2 linked regions of the Sus scrofa genome follow. The protein of the gene in region 2 purifies or fractionates together with the protein of the main gene of each other region. This does not show direct contact. Links are inferred from orthologs where the notes say so. Each region holds a gene or a part of one and is shown on either strand. Other genes may lie near its edges.

Region 1 (5,514 bases), on a different chromosome or scaffold from region 2:
TACAGCCAGGGAAGCACTGATGTGGGGAGGGCGGTTGGGAGACCCGGGGACGGTGCAAAGCAACTCGGGGATCTCTGTCTCAGTTCCCAGGACTAGAGATGCTGTGTTGGCAGGAGGTTAGGAAACGCTTGGCACTGTTGGGGGAGCTTCCGGCGCCCTGTCCCCAGTTCTGGGAGCTGAGTCTCCTGGGATCCTGTTTCGCTGGGGCCAGGAAGTTCCAGTATCCGCAGCCAGGTAGAGACCCCCGTGTATACCCGGAATCCCCGACATCCGGGGTTCTCCCCACACACCTTCAGCCCAGAAGCCGGCCTGAAGCCCTCAGAGGGCGTACAGGGGGGACTTTGATTTTAATGGGGGGTACCTGACTTTTCTGGGGGACAGGAAAACTCCCTCCGTCTTAGCCCCCTCCCTCTTGGGCGCCAGGTTCCCCTCCCCACCGCAGCTTTTAGCCCAAATCTTACCTTGCAGGGGGACTGGGGAGGGGATGCCCCGCCCTCTCCGGCCTGGGGGGCGGGAGGGGACAGGGGTGTCCAGACCCTTTGTTGTTTGCTGGTGTGTGTGTGTGTGTGTGTGTGTGTGTGTGTGTGCGCGCGCGCGCACGCGCGATTGTCAGACCTGAGGTGTGGGTCCGTGCGCGCGCGAGCCCAGGCCGTGACGGCTGCTGAGATGCTGGACTGCCGGGGCTGGAGAGGGAGGAGGAGGAGAGGGGGACTCCCCCGCCCCCGCCCGCCTCCTTGCCGGTTTGAATGAAGCGTGAGGGGGAGGGGAGGCAGCGGGCAGGAGCTTTGTCAGGACGTGTCCCCTCCCCTTCCCCCGACTGGGGAATCCCCTCCCATCCCCCCTGCGCCCCCATTTAGAGACCTTTACTCCTTTCTCTCCAGCCTTTTCCCTCCAAACGCCCACTCTGGGGGAGTCTGGAAGAGGCGCCCTTCACGCAAGTGGTTGAAGCTTCTCCCATCCCCCACGCCATCGGAGCATCCTTTAATCTGAGATAATCCCGGCCCTAGGCTGCAACGCGGCCTTTTATCCTGGTATCAAAGCGTGGGTAGGGATATATGAAAGTGTGTGGCTGGGGTCGCTCAAGCTCAATGTAAGAGTCCTTAGAGCCCAGGACCAGAAAAGGGGCCCCAGACGAAAGGGGAAGGCCTGCTAGCGGTCCTAGAGCACTACCACCGGGAAAGATTCCCCACTTGGTGTGAGGCCAGAAGCACTGGCCGCTAGTTAGACATTGGTGCCACCCAGCGGCCGCACGGGGAGACGCTGTGGATCGGCTCCCGAGACTAGTTAAATGAAGTCTGGGTGATTCCGAAGGGGGGCGCGCGAATCCCCGTTCAGGAGTGGCAGAAGCGAGGAGGAGGCTGTGGTTCGAGCCGGGGAAACACCAGGCCCCAAGGCAGAGCCACAGCACTCCCATCACCTCCAACCCCTCAAGGGCAGGGCCATATCCTTCCTTCACTTAGACCCTCCCAGGACAGGGTCCTGTACCCCTCGGACTGGGAAGGTCCTTCCATATCAGACAACCTCCCCAACACAGCTAAATCCCCCTTCACAAGGAACCCAGCAGTGGGCTAGGGCTGACGTCACTGCAGCGTGGCTAAGAGGACAATCCTCTCCCTCAGGCTCGCCAACTGCTCACTTACGGCCGCCGTAAAGGCCCACTATGCGGCGGCAGGAGATTAGCGGGGCTCGAGGTTGGAGAACCCACTCATATACCCCCCAGGAAGTGCCCGAAGCAGGATGGGATGAGGTTTGAGGGAGAATCCCAGGAGTTGGGACACGTGCGCAGGGCTCTTTAAGAACTCGGTCGCCAGGGCCGCTGCCAGGGTTACTAAGGATGTGACGTCACGTGCGGGCGGGGGCGTGCGCGCCCAGACGGAAGCGGAAGGGGCGGGGCTCGGCGGTCCGAGTCTCCGTGCTGCCGCTACCGCCGCCAGAGTCGGAGCTGGCTGGGCCGCCAAGGCAAGATGGTGGACTACAGCGTGTGGGATCACATCGAGGTGTCTGACGATGAAGACGAGACGCACCCCAATATCGACACTGCCAGCCTCTTCCGCTGGAGGCACCAGGTAGAGCGCGCGCGGCCAGCCCCTTCCCCCACTCCCGGGTCTCTGCTTCAGAGTTCTGACTTCAGATACTGCTAGGAACCCGGCCATGGACACCTGAGATTCCCACCCTACAGTCTGGACTTTCAGTAGCGCCCAGGGTTCTTCGATTCAACTCCGGGATCCCAGAACTTCCGGGACCCTTGAGTCCCTTGCCTGCTATCCGAGCCTCCCCCTGCCGATTTCTTCTTGGAACTCCCAGTTCACCCCTAGGGCACCTTCTTCAGAGTTTAACTACCAAGACAAGCTTTGGGCTTCCCCCCCAGTTCCGTTTGGGACCTTCCATTTACGCTCCGAATCTTACCTCAGAATCTTGACCCTGATCCTATTCAAGTACCCCCTTGTGATCTTGGACATCCCATGGGCCCCTCCCAATCCCTAGAGTTCCCAGTACTTTAAGTTGTAAGTCTGTTCTTCGATCGGCCTTTCTGGGTCCCAGTGGTGATTCCCGTTTAGATCCAGAAATCCTCTAAATACAACAAGGAATTCTGTCCTTCCTTGAGATTTCTGTTCCTGGCGTGGGACTCCAGCCCACACCCAGGACCCCTTTCCTGGAACTTAAACCAGTGCCCATCAGTATCCTTAGTCCCATCTAGGACTGGCATTTTGAAACCTAGTTCCCTTTCAGATTGAACCACCAGCTCTACCCTTGATGGAGCTTCCAATTCCGGCCACTCTCCTTCAGCCTCACATACTGTAGACCCAGTTTCCCATTATGTCAGGAAATCCTACCCACGTGGCTTCCCCCCAGCTAGAGCCCCTGCCCCTGCTTGGTACTGCAGACCCAGTCACCAAACTCTCCCCCCCACCCAAGACAGGCTTCCTGTAGGAGTCAGCTTTGGAAAGCCTCATTCAAATGCAAGTCCAGGACCCAAACCCACCCCTTCTTCCTTCTGACCCTAGCATGGACTGCTGATCTCAGACACCCAGAGTGACCCTGCTTTTACCAGAAACCCTCCCAGTCTGATTCCAGATTCATTGCCCTACTTTTACTTATTCCCCAAATCCAGACTCCAGGATCCCAAAGTCTGTTCTCTTGCCCTTCTCCCACCCAGCAGTGTTCACAGGCCAGCAAAATAGCCCTCCTAAGATGTAATGTTCTAGCCTCCTGCTCCCCAAAATCAGAGCTCCGGCACCCACATTCCTGTGCCTATGAGACTTTGAAACTCAGGGCATATACCTCTCAGAACCTTCCAGTTAGGAATTCCTCACCCCATTTTTCCGTGTATCAGCTCCCAGTCCTTTTTCTAGAAACTCCTAGAAGGGCTCTTCCCCTTCCTGCCAAGACACAGCATGAGTCCCTACATCTGCTACCCAGTGCTAGTTCCAACCCATTCCTTAAAGCAGCAGTCTCCTGGGTAGTGTCCCTGCTGGGCAAGCCGCTGGAGTGTAAGAAGAAAGTTCTAGCACTTCTCTCTTTCTTGCCATGTGTAACATTTTATCATGAAATATTTAAGATCTCTGCAAAGCTCTGAAGACTATCCTCAGGAACATGGATTACTGTCACATAGTCAATCTATGCCACTGTGTGGTGGATGTTCTGGTCCTGCTGGGCGGCAGGCTAGTGCCCCCTCTCCTACCTCGTCTTCCTCTCACCACGCCCTTCTCCCTCCTGGCCAAAACTCTTTCCTGGCCTGCTACTGAGAGTTCCTGGGCAGCGGTGGAGAGGGTCGGAGGTAGAGAGCCTGGTGTCTCCAGCAGCACCAAGTTCAGTGGCAGGCAAGCCTAGGTTCTTATCCCAGCCCTGCCACAGGACACTGGTGCTTTACTCTAGGGGGAGCAAGACCCCCACCTCCACGAGTCAATCATAGGAAGTGAGTAAGCATTCCAGAGGGAAAGAGGGGATTCTAGAACAAATAGCCTGGAGTGCTTCTGAGCGCAGGCCTGCCCACCTGGGTTCAGATCCTGGCTCCTTCAGAATCACAGACTTACTGCCTGGCAAGTTGTTTTTTCTTTTTCTTTTCTTTTTTTTTTTTCATTTTTGGCCACCCCATGGCATGTGACGTTCCCAGGCCAGAGATCAGATTTGAGTCGCAGTCGTGACCAAAGCTGCAGCTGTGGCACTGGCAGATCCTTGACCCACTGTGCCAGGTCGGGGATTGAACCAGAGTCACAGTGCTCCCAAGATGCCACCTGTCTCGTGCCACAGTGGGAGCCCTCCCAGTGAGTTTGGATTGCTCTGTGCCTTCATTTCCCCAGCAGGGAATCTTCACAGTATCTACCCCATAGGGTTGTTGTGAGGATCACCTTTTGTATTTAATGTGTGTTAACACTCTCAGGACAGCACACGGATGGAATAAGTTCTGTGGAGACTTTAGTTTTTGTCATCGTTTAGGTCATTCACACTCATGGTAAAAAAAAAAAGAACCTCAAGATTCCAGAGGGGACAGGTGAGTCCTCCCAGCTCCAGCTCCCTGCCTCCCTGGCTCCCTTGCCCAGAGACAAATAAGTACTGGTTTCTTGTGGCCCCTTCCAGTGAGCTTATGTGGCATCAAGGTTCTGGGAGCCTCGGTTCCCTTATGTATAAGGCAAGGTGTCAGTGACACCTGTGGCCCCTTCTCACTGCTGGGGCTTCTGCCCTGCCCAGCTGGGTACAGCCCCTCCTAGAGCTGTAAAGCCCATGCCAGGCAGGCTGCCACCCTCACCGCTCCAGGAGTCCTTTATTTAGCTTGGGCCTCCTGGCAGCTGCTCAGAGGATGCCGAGATTTCGATGGCTACCCAGCAGAAACCAGCAGCGTGGTACGTTCCTGCTGTCACCTGAGGCCAACCATAGAGAGCCCCTCATATTGTAGCGGGAAGGCTCCAGGGCGACGCAGGCCCATCATGGAGCAAGAGAGGTGACAGAAGATGCAAGGCATTCCCTGCAAAGCAAGGGCTTTCTCCCATCTTCATCCACATGGGAAAAGCGAGGCTTGTGATTGGCTGGGTTGTTCCTGTGGAGCAATAGAGAAGGGCTCAGGTCTCCCAACTCTCACCCAGCATGGGCCCGGCCCTGTGCTAGGACCTAGAGATCCAACCTCGAATAAAGTACAGAAGCAAGTTAGCAGACCATCCTTGTGGCCTTGGCCGTGACAATGGTGTTAACAGTGGGACGTGTATACTGAGTGCTGTGTTGCAAGTGGTTTCCTTGAAGTAACTCTTTTAGTCCTCGCAACAACTCTGTGAGGCCCCATTTTTTTGGAGGGGGGACACCAAGGCAGGGAGAGGTGTAAGCAGCTTGGCCAAGGTCACAAGCCAGTAAGTGCCAGTATGATGCAGCAGCAACCACTCCCAGTGACCCGCATTTACTCTGGGCTAAGCACTTTGAAGTACATTTTCTTATTTGAGCCCCTGTGTAGTCCCCAGAAAGAGATTGTCTGCCCGGACAGGCAGTAATGACATTAGTCAGCATGGAAATGCTGCTCACCAAGCA
Region 2 (4,716 bases):
GGCCATCCAGTAGGGGTTTCCCACTACCGTGTAGCGCTTCTTGCGGTCACTCTTGCGTAAGGTACGTTTCTTGGTGGCGGCCTTCTCGACTGAGGGCTTCTTCCGCTCCTCCACTATGAGCCGTGACAGCCCAAAGTCAGCCACCACCACAGTCTTGTCCTGGGAGGACAAGGGCCAGGTCAGGACTTGGTGGGGACATTCTCAAGAGAAGCCACTGAGAAGGGGAGAAAAGGAGTGTAGCAAGGGGTAGTCTCAGCAAATGCTTGCCCCTGGCAGATGGGGCTCAGCATTGGTTTTCTCACCGTCTGCTCTCTCCACATGGCAGATCCCCAGACCCAGGGGTGCACAGCAGAGGCCCTGGAGCTGGGACGGGTAAGGCTCTGGGACCTGGAAGGAGGAACTTGGAGGCAGGACAGAGGATTTCTTTTGTTTTGATTTTTTCTCATCCTGCCTTGTTCCCAGAAAGATTTAAGGCCATGGCTAGAACCAGGATAAGACAGGGAAAGATGAGGTGGAGGCATTCAGTGGGGGGATGTGGGGGAGATAAGCTCTTCAAATAGCTACAAGGCAGTCATGTGGAAAAGGGATTAAGATTGTTTGGTGTGAGTCCAGAGGGCACAGTCAGGGCCAGTGAGTGGACACCCAGGAAGCCGCACTGTAAGGCAACAGGAGGAGTAACTTATAATAGCCAGGACTGACTGGCCAGTAGGAGGAAGTGACTGGAAATTTATTAGCTCTGTGGCCTTGAGGATTCAGGTGTCACAGCTGTAATCGGAGTCCTCAGTGGCTTTTACTACCGCAGGGGAAGACCAGGAAAAGGGACAACATACAGCTAAGGAACTTCTGAAGTCCCTTGTGACTGAAGGATTTCAAAGGCTGCCTTTGGGAGGAAGCAGACTTTACTGTATGTGTCAGGGGGGCCCCCAGAAGACAGAGGAGGGCATGGGAGGCAGCAAGAAGGGCAAGAAGGAGCCCTGGCCATACTTCTGGTCTAGAGCAGGACAGGAGGAGTTCCCATTGTGGCTCAGTGGTAACGAACCCAACTAGTATCCATGCGCTACCCAACTGGTATCCTGGCCTCGCTCAGTGGGTTAAGGATCTGGCGTTGCTGTGAGCTGTAGTGTAGGTTGAAGATGTGGCTCAGATCTGGTGTTGCTATGGCTGTAGCAACTATACCTCTGATTGGACCCCTAGCCTGGAACTCCCGTATGTTGTGGGTGCGGGGAAAAAAAAAAAAAAAAAAAGGCAGGAGGGGACAGTTAGCTTCCCTAGTGACAGGGAAGTGGCCCAGAGTGGTGGGACATACCAGCTTGATGAGGCAGTTGTGTGAGTTCAGGTCCCGGTGGATGATGCACATGGAATGTAAATAGGCCTGAAACAGAAGCACAAGCTGAGGTCAACAGCCAGTAAGTCAATCAGATGCTGACTTCTGCAGGCCACAGAACCCACTCTCCTCCCAGGCTGTCACTACCCAGCTTCAGAACCTAACTTGGACTCCAGAGTCCTCCCGCTGTCACGCCCGTGTCCTAGGGCCAACAGAAAGCCAAAGGCTGCCTGGGCTTCCTCTCTCTCTACTGCCATCTCCTGTCCCAACTCAGTAGCTGCTCTGTCCTGAAGTCTCCAACTCCATTGGGCCCTGGCCCTTGTGTGCCCTCATCCCCTCGACCCACTTCACTTAGACTCAGGCTACCTGGGTGCACTGCTCCTGACCCCTTCACACCCCTTAGCCTCACCCCAGTCTTGGCTTCAGCAGCCCTGGATTCTGCTGTGGAAGAGGAAATGACCTGCCCGTGGACCAGCAGGCTCTGTGCTCCTGACAGCCCTCTCCCCAGGAACTCAGCACCCTCCTCACTCTCTGTCGACACTTCAGCCTCTCCCCTTCTTACCCAAGTGTTTATTTGCTGTTCCCCAGCTCCAGGCCTCCACTTCTGGCTCTTGTCACACTGGAGCCACTTTGTCCCTTTTCCTTCCCCAGCCACCGCCCCTCCCCAGCCCTGCAGCACTGCTTCCACCTCCTGGGCTCCTGGAGTTGCTCTTCCGGGCCTGCATGTCGTTCCCTACCCGGAGGCTGCCCACACCTCTCCTGGGCTGACCTCCTTCTCCTTCCAGCCTCCCTAGTGTCAGCCCTTCTCAAAGCCACCTTCTCTTCACGGCTGACCCCCACTAACCACCCCATTGCAGCCTCGGCAGACACCTATCCCAGCTCTTCTCAAACCTGTTTCCGGACCATCACTGCCAACCTCCCCCTCTTTCTGGTAGACGCCACCACCATTCTTCTAGGCACTTCAAGACTCCCCAGTTTCCCCCAACCCCATATCCCTGTTCCCTCACTGCCAACCAGTGTCCATTCAGACTTGAACTTGCGTCCTGGTCTCCTGGCCCCATGGATGTACAGTAATTTAGGAACCTGAAATGCCTCATCGACCCCCTGCCCTGAGTTCTCTCAACTCTACCAACTTTCTTGCTCAAAAATCTTTTACATTTGTCTTTTGGGGTTCCTAAATAAAGTGCAGACTCCTTAGCCTAAAATACAAGGATCTTTTTTTTTTTTTTTTTTGCTTTTTAGGGTGCACCTGCAGCACATGAAAGTTTTCAGGTTAGGGGTTGAATTGGAGCTGCAGCTGCCAACCACAAGCACAGCCACAGCAACACTGGATGCAAGCTGCATCTGTGACCTATGCTGCAGCTCACAGCAGCACCAGGTCCTTAATGCACTAAGCAAGGCCAGGGATTGAACCTACATCCCATGGATACTAGTCAGGTTCTTAACCTGCTGAGCTACAATGGGAACTCCAAAACACAAGGATCTTAATGTACCCAGTCTTCATGGACCCTACATGATGAGCAGGGATTAAAATATCAGGCCTGGGGGTCAGACTGACTAGCCCACCTAGCTCCACCCTGTCTGGCCTCAGCTTCTCATCTGGAACCAGGGCTATCTTGAGTACTAGTCCCTCAGCTTGGTGCCTGGCCTGAGAAGGCACTCAGCAACTGTCACCATTCCCATCGCTGTGACTGGCATCATGCTTTCCCAGGTCAAACAGTCTATTTCCTCCTCTCTCCTCCCAGGTCCTGGCTGCTGACATCACCCCAGCTTTGGGGCCTCTCTGCCAAGAGGAACTTTTATCTGGTTCTGACCCATCCCTTCAGGGTTTGACTAGGAGACAATTCCCCTTCTCTGATTTCCTAGGCGGTGATGTTCTCTGCTTGCTCCAAGAGCCCTGGATGCCCCTGTGACAGCAGGGCCCAGCCACCTGTGCTAGTCTGCTTCTCTACTTTGCCTTGCCTACCTCTGTGTGCCCTAGAAGATATGGAATTCTTTGAGAGTAGGGTTGTGAGCTGGGAAGAGCCAACTGGGGACAATTTCACTGGCAAAGAGAGAAGCTCAGTGAATAGCTGCTAAATGGCCTGGCACATGCAAGTTATCCAGGACGGAGTACCTGCCTGCAATCCCTGCCCCTTTCCTGACCCTGACTCCCAATACCCTGCTCTGCTCCCAGGCTTGTTGGCAGGACTCACCATTCCAGAGGCGATGCCTTTGGCAAATCTGACCTTCTGCTGCCAGGGGAACGGGTCCTGCAGGATGGGGGAATGCCCATAAGAGGCTGCTGGGCCATCGCACTTGTGGTCCAGGCCCCGTGGTCACCATGATCTGCCAGGAAACCCTCACTGCTGGTGCCCAGCCCCGCCCAGCATGCCCCTTTGTATGCAAAGCAGTGGGCCCCTGGCCATCATGGCTCCAGGATAGTGGTGACACAGATGTCCCACTGACAGCCAACCCAGGGTCCAGGACTTTGGGGGTGCAGCGCTCACCACGCTGCGCAGAAAGTCCTTCAGTGTGCCCCCCTCGATGTACTCAGTCAGCAGGTTCAGCTTCTTGTCCTTGTACAGCACACCGATGAACTTGAGCACGTTGGGGTGGTCCAGGCTGCGCATCACCTTCACCTGTGAGAGGGGAGGCCAAGGAGGGTGGGTGGTTTACTTCTCACCTCTTCCCTCCAGGGGGTCAGATGGACATATGCCACCATGTCTCACACCTCCTATCATGTGCTAGGGTGGGCTCCCAGGCCTCACCCTTGGGATCCTGCCTTTCTAGGAGCTACATCTGGGATCCTGTGAAGTAGGGGACCCATGAGTGAAACACGCCTGGGGGCAGCACCCAATGGAGCAACTGAGAGAGGGAGTGAAAACCATACGGACCCTCAAGGGCACCAGGCTCCCTCAGCAGGGAGCTCAGTTAGTCATAGCATTGAGTTGTGGTACAAGGGTGTTTTCACATTTATCATCCCACACTCCTGAGCTCCTCTGAACCACTTCTTCCTGTACCCAGCTCCTGCTGTCTTTAGTATTTGTTTTTTTCTTTTTCTTTTTGTCTTTTTGCTATTTCTTGGGCCGCTCCCGTGGCATATGGAGGTTCCCAGGCAGGGGTCCAATCAGCACTGTAGCTGCCAGCCTACGCCACAGTCACAGCAACGTGGGATCCGAGCCGCATCTGCAACCTACACCACAGCTCACGGCAATGCCAGATCGTTAACCCACTGAACAAGGGCAGGGACTGAACCGAACCCGCAACCTCATGGTTCCTAGTTGGATTTGTTAACCACTGCGCCACGACAGGAACTCCTTTTTTTTTTTTTTTTTTAGTATTTGTTACACAAATAATTACACTGTAATTTACGGGGGCAGGCATGTTCCTATAGTGATCTTTTCTGCTCA

What was found. Proteins that work in one complex are often made in the same cells at the same time.
Region 1: the proteins of LIMK2 (region 2) and CDC37 purify together in Homo sapiens (affinity purification with mass spectrometry; 3 studies listed by BioGRID and IntAct, with this or other methods). This does not show direct contact. The link is inferred for Sus scrofa from reciprocal best matches to the Homo sapiens genes LIMK2 and CDC37.

What each region holds. Positions count from the first base shown.
Region 1 is NC_010444.4:69,209,266-69,214,779, reverse strand, and holds the start of CDC37 (hsp90 co-chaperone Cdc37), read left to right. Parts: upstream 1-1,870; 5' UTR 1,871-1,964; coding exon 1,965-2,066; intron 2,067-5,514. UniProt on the Homo sapiens protein: Co-chaperone that binds to numerous kinases and promotes their interaction with the Hsp90 complex, resulting in stabilization and promotion of their activity. Inhibits HSP90AA1 ATPase activity.
Region 2 is NC_010456.5:48,028,428-48,033,143, reverse strand, and holds part of LIMK2 (LIM domain kinase 2), read right to left. Parts: intron 3,946-4,716; coding exon 3,814-3,945; intron 3,577-3,813; coding exon 3,520-3,576; intron 1,373-3,519; coding exon 1,307-1,372; exon of another isoform or gene 303-1,306; intron 160-302; coding exon 1-159. UniProt on the Homo sapiens protein: Serine/threonine-protein kinase that plays an essential role in the regulation of actin filament dynamics. Acts downstream of several Rho family GTPase signal transduction pathways.